Linked DNA regions of Drosophila melanogaster. Changing the gene in region 2 together with the main gene of any one other region gives a genetic interaction. Each region holds a gene or a part of one and is shown on either strand. Other genes may lie near its edges.

Evidence for each region.
Region 1: of rno (region 2) and Rbf, changing one enhances a phenotype caused by changing the other (phenotypic enhancement), as found in Drosophila melanogaster (one study listed by BioGRID).
Region 3: of rno (region 2) and aos, changing one enhances a phenotype caused by changing the other (phenotypic enhancement), as found in Drosophila melanogaster (one study listed by BioGRID).

What each region holds. Positions count from the first base shown.
Region 1 is NC_004354.4:799,344-803,174, forward strand, and holds the start of Rbf (Retinoblastoma-family protein), read right to left. Parts: upstream 2,137-3,831; 5' UTR 1,443-2,136; coding exon 1,254-1,442; intron 1,175-1,253; coding exon 1,035-1,174; intron 974-1,034; coding exon 785-973; intron 723-784; coding exon 368-722; intron 305-367; coding exon 1-304. Other genes in the region: CG13359 (uncharacterized protein), read right to left, coding at 2,602-3,831.
Region 2 is NT_037436.4:198,068-201,898, forward strand, and holds the start of rno (rhinoceros), read right to left. Parts: upstream 1,696-3,831; 5' UTR 1,396-1,695; intron 1,021-1,395; 5' UTR 695-1,020; intron 623-694; 5' UTR 521-622; coding exon 69-520; intron 8-68; coding exon 1-7. Other genes in the region: mri (mrityu), read left to right, coding at 2,405-2,993, 3,104-3,301, 3,374-3,691, 3,750-3,831. UniProt on the Drosophila melanogaster protein: May function as a negative regulator of the EGFR/Ras/MAPK signaling pathway during eye development.
Region 3 is NT_037436.4:16,481,617-16,485,216, forward strand, and holds the start of aos (argos), read right to left. Parts: upstream 2,035-3,600; 5' UTR 1,461-2,034; coding exon 1,065-1,460; intron 1-1,064. UniProt on the Drosophila melanogaster protein: Regulates cell determination; development of ommatidia and optic lobe. Is a signaling molecule involved in the process of axon pathfinding in the eye. Part of the Ras pathway regulating programmed cell death in pupal eyes; activated by lozenge (lz).

The DNA.
Region 1 (3,831 bases), on a different chromosome or scaffold from region 2:
GTCCGAAGGCGCTCAGCTGCTTCACGTTGTTAGTGGCGTTGCGGACGGGCTCAAATTTATCGCCAGCCATCGCGGGCTGCGCAGGCAGATCTTGCTTGCGGGTAAGCGGAGTAACCGGCGGACGCAGGGACTGGTCGTTGAGGGCAGTGTGTTCCCCCGCATCGTAGGCACTCAGAATGCGTTCGTCGAATTCGCCGACGCTGAGGACGTACTGCTCGTAGCTGATGTTGAGGGACTTTAGGTTGCGCTCGAAGTTTTCGTTAGCCAATAGGCCTAACATAGTGTCCTTGTTGCCGTAGATGGTCTGGTCGAAATGAAAATAGAACAAATTAATTGTTTTAATGGAAATCCGAAACGGCACTCCTACCGAAGCCTGAAAGAAGCTCGACATGATCTGGCGGAAAGTGGTGGCCTTCATGGCTTTAGCCTCCTCGGTCATGTCACAGAAGTTGGACAAAATGCAGTGCGGATTGTGACGAAAGTCCAGCTCCGTCCAGTTGCTCGGCAGGCCCTCGAATTTGGGGTTGATGAGATCGGTGCGCTTCTCGGCCAGCACATTGTTGTATATCAGGTCTATGCAGCAAATCATCAGATTGTAGGATGTCACCAGGTCCACGGTGTTGCTCGGCTTCTGGTTCTTGGCGCAGAGAAACAGGCGCCAGCAGATGTCGTCCAGCTTGATGTACGAGCACTTTCCGTGGGCGTGGTTGCCATGCAGAGAACTGTTCCAAAGAGGGAAGCTTTTTATATACACGGGGTCAGGCTGACATGATGATATACGCACATGTACTTGGAGTGCTTCTTCTCGTTGGGCGGGCACGAGAAGATCATGTCCATAATAATGCGGAAACGCTTGTGCAGCATGAATGTAATGCTGAACTTGCGGTCCAGATCCTCAATCTCGTTGACAAACTCCTGAGGCAGGTTGGCCATGTCGCACCACTGCTTAATTTTGGTCTTGAACTCGTAGATGCTGTGGGTGGGGATTGTGGAAATGGTTAGGTGTGAAACTGCAGGCATAAACGGCAACCCACCTCATCTTGCAGCAGCGCAGCAAATTGTTTAAGGACACACAATTACCCTTGACCACTGCATTCTGGCCAGTCACCGTGGGTGTGCTGGTTCTTCGGCAGGCCGTGTAAATGGCGCAGCACATCCAGTGGCTGGCTGTGCCCTTTTAGGCAGGCAATGCACAGAAAGAATGAAAGAAAGGACGTTAGGTTGGAGGCTACTGCTGCCACTTCGAAGCTCACCTCCATGGAGCACCTCTGGGACACCTCTAAGTACGTCTCGTAGCCCTGCAGCTCTGTCTGCCGATCCATGTTTAGATCCCGGCATAGGTTCGTGTACTCGGCGTTGATCATCTCCAGGCGGTCGTCGCTGGTCGCCACCAATCCGCTGACCACCTCAGCTCCCAGTTCCTGCGGGTCAGGCTCGCTCATGTCTGCGAATGATGTCTCTGTCCCGGCTGATTGCGTATGCTTGCAGCGGCGGCCGCTGCTTCTGGCGACAGCCTGGAGTCGGAAATCGGAGACGGAGGCGCCTGAATTGGAGCTAGCCGGCTAACCGGGGCGTTGCGGGCCTGGCGCCGCTGTTTACGTCTAGTGGCCTGGCGCCTAGTGGCTGCCGGTGTATGCTGCGCTTGCCGCCGCGCTCCTCGCGGACATGTAACTGCGAGAGCTTACACTTAATTACAGAAATAATGAAGTTTCCCGCCGAAATGATTTGGGCGTGTGTGTTTGTGTGCGAGTGTTTGTCGCGTGTGTGTGTGTTCGCGATACACCCTTTTCTGAGGAACACAACAAAAGAGCAGGCGAGGGGACAGAACAAACAGCGCTGGGATGCTGCGATTAGCCAGGACCACACCACGGCCACGGTTGTTGGTTAAAACACATTAACAAAATAACTATTTCACAACTTAATCGCCATGGAAAACGCGGGAAACTTGACTAGTTGCGGCGGGCAGGTGCGTGTGATCCACTCCGCGTTCGAACTATCCACTTCTAGGGCTGCGCGGACGATGTGGCCCTAGGGATGGACTTGTGCAGAAGGAAAACTAATTTATTGCCACTACTTAAAGATTTTGCAATTGCGATTGCATAGTCAGAGTCTGACACGTTAATACAAGTTAATGGATTTTTAGTTGGGCGGCCGGTATTTCGCCAGCAAAGCCATGCGGTCACACCGACGCGCGCATTCGGCCAGTTTAAACGTGGTGGGGTGGTATTACTACAGTGCTTGGCGAGTTATGCAGTGACTGCAAGCAGTATGTCGTGTTGCATACATACCTAAATTGGGGGACCCTAAAATGAATTAGAACGAAATAATTGACAAAAATATGTGTACACATATAATTTATTTGCAATGCACAATGCTATTTGCATGTGTGCGGTAAACTGACAGTGTTGGTTAGCGTTCAAGAGCATTGCACATCGGCGATATAGCTAGTTGTAATCGATAGCCGCAAATTTAAATACTGCTTTGAACTTTATGGAAATTCGCGGGAATTCTTCGCGATTCAGCTACTAACATACATACATATACACTATACAATTTAGAGAACTTGCTGTCGCAGCACATACGACCCGAGCTACGACGTGGCTAACGTAGATACCGTCTTCTGAACCTCCTGGCCAGGAGGTGGAATAGCATGTGTCGCCGCATAAAGGCCGCCGTCAGACCTGCCGCCGTGGACAGCTCGTGGTTTTCTTGAGAATCGCTGGCCAGACTGGAGCTCTCGAAGGAATTGGAGGAATTGAAAGAGTCAGAACTCTCTGCCTGCGTATTCTGATCCGCACCAGTTCTAGCACTTCTCCAAATGGGTGTTGAAGAGCCGTCGGACTTACAGCCACTGGTGTTGGTTCTGGAGTTCGGGATCTGGGTTCTGTCGGGATGCTTCTCCAGCACAAGGCAATGCTGTCTTTTGAACGGTTGACTAGCAGACACACCGTACTTGGCTATCGCGCGGTTGAGCTCAGGATCGGGGATGTATGCACCGCGCGACAAAGACTCCGTTTTTCCGATCGATTTTCTTTTGGAAATATACCCGCTGACATATCTTTTTGGTCTAGAGAAACGTCTCGCGGAGGTTGCCTTCTCAATAGTCAATTTCCTCGCGGAGGTTGCATTGTCAATGGTCAAGTTCCTCGTGGATTTTGCCTTGTCAATAGTCATTTTCCTCGCGGAGGTTGCCTTCTCAATAGTCAATTTCCTCGCGGAGGTTGCATTGTCAATGGTCAAGTTCCTCGTGGATTTTGCCTTGTCAATAGTCATTTTCCTCGCGGAGGTTGCCTTGTCAATAGTCAATTTCCTCGCGGAGGTTGCCTTGTCAATAGTCAATTTCCTCGCGGAGGTTCCCTTGTCAATAGTCAATTTCCTCGCGTTGGTTGCCTTGTCTATAGTCAATGTCCCCGCGGAGGTTGAGTTGTCAATAGTCAATTTCCTAGCGGAGGTTGCCTTGTCAATAGCCAAGATCCTCGCAGAGTTTGCCTTGTCAATAGTCAAGTTCCTCGCAGAATTTGCCTTGTCAATAATCAATTTCCTTCGCTCCGCCTCCTCCGTCTGCAAAGTCTTGTGGTGCACCTCAACGCGATCCACAAGATTCTTGGCCGCCTTCTGATCAGCTAAATTCATCTCTGCACGCACCTTGCGGAGAGCAAGGCAGTCAATGATGCTATGACTCTGCCAAGTGACCTCCAGGTCGGCGGGGATTGGTGTTCCCTCTGACGCCAAGCAGCCCTGACTCGTCATTACTTGTTTCTGGCAAATGTCCATGAACTTGTCTCGCCGGCTAAGCAACGCGTGAGGCGCCAGGTCCACATCCCCCAGTTT
Region 2 (3,831 bases):
ATCCTTGCTGCAATTAAAATTTGAATATTATTGAATCGTTTCTAATTGGTTTGCTGGTCTGTTAATACCGGTAAAGTTCAGCTGGAGCTTCCGTTGAGCTTCGATTGTAGATGCTCGACATCTTGATGTCCGCTACAGACCGCGCCTGCCAGGAGCTACTAGAACTCGCCCCCTGCGACTTGCACTTGCTTGCCGACTTTGCCAGTTTCGTTGACTTCGATTTGCTAGTGCTGGTAGCGCCTGCCGCGGCTCTTCCTTGTCCTCCTCCCCCCGCTTCCGCCCCTGGCTCTTCATGTTTGCTTTTGCACAAAGGCAGAACTGGCACACGCTCCGATCCTGTAGCTGGACCCGATCCAGTCACTTCAGCTACTGCTGCCGTAGTGGCTCCATTAGGTGGCCTACCTTTGCGCCGCTTGGTGGGCGGCGGCTGCGGCTCAACATCCTTGCGCTGATGCTGTTGCGGCGGCGGATGGTGCGACTGGTGATGCTGCTGATTACCGCGCTTACCTCTTTGTGACATTTTTCATTGGTGTTGATTGGATATTTGTGTGTTTTTGCTTCGATTGGTACCTTGTCCCTTGTGTCTTGTGCTTGTTAGAGAACGGGTTCTTTGCTGCAAGACCTAGAAGTAAGAAGGCAAAAGCAGCTTCAATACGTATTTCACGCGATTTATTTACTAACCAAATTTACTTACTACATGCTTAAGGCCACAGTTGGCGACACCACACCGGCTGCTGCTGCTGCGCTCTCCTGGATGTGGTGCGGTCGTGATTCTTGGTGGTCCACCCTTTGTGCCCCGTGGACATGGACGCCGCTGCTGCCCCAGCCCTAATATCCAGTAGCGACGCCACTTTGCAGTCCTGTGTGCTCCGCACTTCTCCACGGGCGAGTTAGTCCACTTCCACTGCCACCTTCCGCTTGCTGCCTTTTGTTATTGTTCGTTGTTTATCCACAGACTTTTGCAAGTTTTTCTTTGGCGTTTGGCTCACTGGTTTGGATTCTCGACGAGCATTCGCTAGTCTGGTGGGAGAGAAGGCATATGTTTGTGGGTTATTCGCTTATATTAGGAGCGTTCCCAGTAAGTGTCCACATTTTCTATGCTTTCCGAAAATACACAAAAAATATAGAAAAACGTTCAAGCTGCCAATAGGTGACTGGTGCAAAACCCACAGGCGCCCTCCCGCTCGCACATAGCACGCTCGTTTAAGGGCGCGCTTACTATGCGCGTGAGTGCAAGCAGGAGGCAAGCAGGTGGCGTTCGTGTTGCATCCGCCAGCTTATACACGGCACCCAGCATACCCCTCCGACACTTCACTACTCAGAAGCAATCAAAGTTTTTGCACTTTTTTTTACACTTTTATTATAACAACTTATTTGTTATTGCTATCCGCAAACCTAGACAGCCACTCTGCTCGTCGCTAGCGCTTCCGCACGCGACACGCCCACTCAGGGCGCCACTTTCGCACTGCCCATTCTTGGGGGAGTTGGGATTTTGTTATATATTTTACATTTGGGTTTTTTGCCGCCGCAGACACACACGCCAAGCACTTGTTACTGACCGAAGACCGCTCACAGTCTTCGCATTTCGTGAAGCGTCCGTATCAAACTCACGTTTCCCAAAATCGCATTTGCGTTCGCAGGAATTACAATTCTTTTGATTATTTATTTTATTTTTGAGCAAAAATTATTTTTCTCAGATCGCCATGATGAACGGTTGCAAATTTAAACTATCGAGTGCATTTAGTCGGTGGTCGGTATCGATACACAGCTTGGGTATATACAGAGTTGCATTCGGCCCAACGCTGTATTTTGTTTTAACAACATTTAATTAATTTCCACAGAATTTTCATATTAATTTGTATTTGAAAAAAAAAGTTATTTCCATTAAGTTAAGATATGTTAATTAAGAATTTTCTTATTATTACCTCTAAATATTATAGATTTTCTTAACTTAATAGAAGTTAATAATTATGTAACAAACAATGTCGAAATGATGAAATTACAATCTTTTTATTTTTTTAGAGAGGAATTTTTTATTCGTTAAAAAAAACCCGATAAGCTGAAAACAAACATCGCGATTGAAGATAAATATCGGTTAAAAATATGTTATTGTGATTACAGAGGAAAACTATCGACTGAGCGCACCCAGGAGCCCATCTCCAGCACCAACAAGAAAAAATATGTATATTTATAACTATATGTAAAAAGGAAAAAGTCGCGTCGCACAAAGGTAACGTGAATACTATTTAATCGGACCTCTGATGCAGCGATAAGCAGGCTTTTTTTCAACGGAGCCTCGCTAATTTGACCGCCCTCTGCCAGATTGTCTTTGTCTCTCTCGAAAAGTCGGTGGAACGGTGTTGTACTGGAATATTTGAAGAGTGGCTCATCAAACGCAACAAACATGTCAAACACTCCAAGTCTGAACAGTAGTAGTAGCAATATCAGTAGCAAGGCGCCCCTTGCCCAGAAGCAGGACACGTACAGTAGCGACAGCAGCGAGGAAGTTCTCGAAACAGCCGAGGAGCGGAGGAGGCGCATCCTGAAGGAGCGCAGCCGGCTGAACCGTCCGCAGCACAATATGTCAGGCGGAGGTGCTGTGCCCAAGCACGACATAAAATCCCCTTGCGGAGCATCTCCCAGCTGCCAGGCAACTGGTTCCGGAATGGGCCGCCTGCCGCTCCCTCCCGAAAGGATCACCATGCTGGTGGACGGTGTGCGCTTCACGGTGGAGCAATCACTGCTTACAGCACATCCCACCACAATGCTTGGCACGATGTTCGGCTCCGGCTTCCAGTTCGCTCATACCAACGAGCGCGGCGAGTACGACGTTGCCGACGGCATTTCGCACTTAGTGTTCAGAGCCATTCTGGAGTACTACAAAAGCGGTGTTATCCGCTGCCCGCCCACTGTTTCGGTACCGGAACTAAAAGAAGCCTGTGATTATCTGCTCATTCCCTTCGACGCAACCACGGTGCGCTGCCAGAACCTAAGTGAGTATAACGCGAACTATTCCTGCCAGGGCGAACCTTAGTTGTGGCCACCTCTGCTTGTTTTCCGTCTCTTTCCTTGTAACATGCCCTCTGTTATGTTTGACATAAAGGAGGCCTTCTCCACGAGCTTAGCAACGAAGGAGCGCGACAACAATTTGAACTCTTTCTTGAGGACCTAATTCTGCCCCTCATGGTGGCCTCGGCGCAGCGCGGGGATCGAGAGTGTCACGTTGTGGTGCTCCTTGAAGACGATATGGTCGAGTGGGATGAAGAGTTTCCGCCTCAGATGGGCGAGGAGTATTGTCAGAGTGAGTGTATTTAAAAAATGTGTTTGCATTAGTATCACGGAAGTGGAAGCAACACTAACATTTCTAACGCAGCCGTGCACAGCACTGCCATGCACCGATTCTTCAAGTACATCGAGAACCGCGATGTGGCCAAACAGGTGATGAAGGATCGCGGTCTGAAGAAGATACGCTGTGGCATAGAGGGATACCCCACCCACAAAGAGAAGATCCGAAGGCGTCCCGGTGGACGGGCTGAAGTCATCTACAGCTATGTGCAGCGACCTTTCATCCACATGTCCTGGGAGAAGGAGGAAGCAAAGAGTCGCCATGTTGATTTCCAATGTGTAAAATCCAAGTCTGTAACGAATCTAGCGGAAGCAAATGCAGATCCGCCACTGGAATTGGACGCAAGTGCGTAAGGCTCGAAACGGAGAGTAACAGCTCCCTTAAAGCCCAAATTCGTTTTCAGGTGGAAATCCGATTCCCCCTATAGCAGTGGCTAATCCGCATCCCAATAACGCTGAGCTCGCTGCCGGTATGGCCGTCGCACC
Region 3 (3,600 bases), about 16 Mb from region 2:
GCCTCGTAGAAACATCAAGCAAGAATTCGATTTTCAGGGCGTGTTCTGTCGTATGACATTTGACATAATAGATATACGATACATGATATATGACCGATCCAAGCCCCTCTCTTTCTCAATGGACACTTGATTTATGGCCAGATCGGGAGTGAGAACAATGGAACCGCGGTGACCTATGATCTGAATTCGCATTGTAGCGGATTTAAGGGGAAAGATAACGGCAAGAACTTTTTGGTGTACCGTCGGCTTAGTCATGAATAGCCAGCATTGAACTCTTGACCCGCCCGGCTAATTGGTTTTGGTATCGCTCATATCGTTCGGTTGTATGGCAATTGCGACTTTAATTGATCAAATGCGACAGATCAGTTGATGTGTTGAGCTCTCCGACTGCAAACAACTTTCATTTTTCATCTAGAGCGAGTGTGGCCGCTGCAATTAAATGTGCCATATGCGTATGGTGATATATGAATAGTGGTTTTGTGGGTGTCAAGTGTAATGGCCATAGGGCGGCTGCTAAATATAGACAGAGTTTTCTGAACAAAAGCAAAAAAATATGTAAAAATAACGAACTAAAACTCGGACCCAGCCCAAAAAAGTTGCATTGCAAAACCTGCTGTGCAGAGAAAGAAATCGTAGGTTGACTTGCGCGATGACATTTAAGATATATCTATGCTATAATACATTTGACTGATTAATTGATTAAGCTACAAATCCGAAGATAAGAGACTGTTTTGAGAGTTCTTTGATAAATTGGTATGGCAGACCGTTAGCCGATCTGCTTTTCCCTAATTTGACTGAAATTATCTAATCGATCAATATTGTTTTCTGTGTAGATGCTGCTGTTGCCGTTGATACCGCTGGCGTGGGCATTTTACAAATGGCAACCAGTTGAACAGGTGTCTGCTGACGTTGTTGCCTGCATTATGCAACCTGCCATTGCCAGTTGTTGGTTTCATTGGTACCTTGTGTTTTATTTTATGCTTTTTTACTTAGCCCCACCGATCAATGCAAACATGCAATTAGCCAGGCTAATCAAATGAATTTAGTACTTGCTAGCTACTCACCCCCACTTGGTAGAGGATGCGCACATCCCGATCGCCGTGCTTGCCGCCGATGATGCTGCGATGCTGCTGTTGTTTCTGCAACATTTGTCGCGCATGTCGCCGCGACTCGGCGAGATCCTTCTCCGCAGCCGCTGTGGAGGAAATGCTCACAACGGTCAGTTGCTCGGTGGCGGGCTTCACTGTACTGCTCGCCACTCCAGTTGCTGCCGCTGCTCCTGAAATATCTTTGGCATCGTAGACGACGGTGTACTGCAGACTCTTGTGCTTGTCCGCTGTGGATGTGGTCGGCGTAATCTCGAACACCTCGAGCGGCAGTCGCGTGCCGCCGACAGCAACGGCAGCGGCGGTCAGCAGCAACAGCAGCATGCACGGCAGCAACATCAATGTCGTAGGCATGATTTATGACTCTGACTCTGGCTGGGATCTCTGGATGTTCGAGAATCTGGATCTGGATCTTGTATTTGGATCTTGGGATCTTTCCGAATCTCCGTGCGTGTTGTTTTCTTGCGGTTTGTAATTGACACTCAATGAATTTTGTAATTGAATTCGAATCAAATCCAATCGAATCGAATCGAATCGAGTCGAATCAGTGTTCTCGCTCTATCTCACTCGCTCGCCCAGAACCCATGGCTTACATGCACACACACACTGGCAGAAACGAACTCTACAAATCAGGTTTCAAATCGAACGATCGATTGATTTGTGGCGAATGTCACTCGAAATTATTGGATATTTCATTCACTGCAATCGGTCGGTGGTCGGTAGTTTCTGTTTGCTATTTAGTAACTTAACACCCGCGACGTCGCTGTCTCCGGTGGCCTTTCGTCTCGTCTCGTTTTCGTCTTTTCTTTCGCTCCTGGAACGTATACCCAATGGTACCGATGCTATATTATATCGTATCGTATCGCCTCGGTTACTCTGCCCTCGCTCTATCGTTGTTCGCTCGACCAACTCACTTTTCGAACTGATCAAACAGAAAATCCAAAAACGAACAGCGCGCGGCGAACGAGAGCCGTTGAAGCCGGCAGAGAAGTGCGCTGCTCGCGTCGCTGCCGGTATGTGCGTGTCTGTGCACTGAGAGAAAATGCTCGATTAAACAGAGAAATTAATAGTAATATAAAAAAAAAAAAAATTTGTTTATTATTCTCAATTCAATAAAATGTAATTATTTATTATATTGGTTGTATAAGAATTTTTATAAAGTAGTATAAATTTTCAATCAAATAAATATGTACATCTAACAAAAAATGTTATTATCTTATAACAAAGAGGTAAAATCATAAGTAGTACGAAATCTTTAAAAGAGAAAGTGTGTTACGCAAAAAGTATTCAAAGCAGTCTTTTGAACCCACTGTTGTCTTTTCACATATTTGGTCAACCGAATTTGTTCCCAGTGCATGAGCGGCAGCGTCCGAACGTGAGAGAACACGAAAGAGAGTGGGCTGGATATGAATGAATGAACATGTTGTTGCTGCCTTTTTCCGCTGGTGGTTGCAGCATCCATTGCTGCTGCGCCTGTGTGCGTGCGCGCATCTGTGAGATGCATCTGTGACTAAGCGCGGCTGTATTGGTGAGAGCGAGCGGATGGCAAGGTGTCTCTGGCTCGCGTGCTTGGCTTAAAGCAAAAGCAAAAGCAACAACGAAATAAAATACAACAAAATAACAAAAAATTAAAAGGGGACTTCGCAGCCAAGCGGCTCTTGCCGCTTCCGTTGCATCCTTTCGGCCGTTTTTGCTGCCGCCGTGTTGTTTTTGTCATTTTTACTACGGCACCGGAAACTAATTCCTGCCTTAGCCACAACGACCTGGACTTGGGCCGCCGCCTCCTCCTGGCCTTCATCGTTCAACCTTCTCCTTTTGCCATGGTTTCATGTTTGGGCCTTATTCTTGTAGCGCATGCCAAAAAAAGAACAACTGGAGAAGAATCCAGAAAAGAGTTTAACACAAAAGGAAGATCGAGCTTAAAGTCGATGCTTTAAATGCCCTTCGAAACAAAGCTTTAGTGGCGAACTGGCTTATAAAATCGGCTAATAAACCGCTAATTACCTTGGTAATTACAGATCATAAAGTTTAAATGGATTTGGGTCTATCAATAAACTTTTATAGTAATACATGCTTGAGAGTTGCAAGAAAATGTAATGTTTATTTAACACCAATTTTTATACTACAATACATTTATAATGTAAAAGTAATGTAACAATGTTAAAAAAAAAGTTTCGTATTTTTGGCGTGCCTTTGATAACTTGATTGTCAATTTGTGAGGTTTTCAAAAAAGTCTGTTTCGTTAGTCTTTTTTTTTTTGTTTGGGTTGTTCCTTTGTGATTATTCCTTTCAATATTCTTCTAAAAAAAATATGAATGCCCCAAGATAGTGTATATGGAGAGTACGAGAGAGACCTGGAAACGATCTTCATCTCCATCTTCAGCTTGGAAGTTCAAGCGAAAAACGCGCGAGGTTCGGCAGAAAGCCCGCCAATTTTATGGGCCAAACCCGATAAGATTTCATTTGTTTACGAGTTACCTTGAGACGCGCCAGA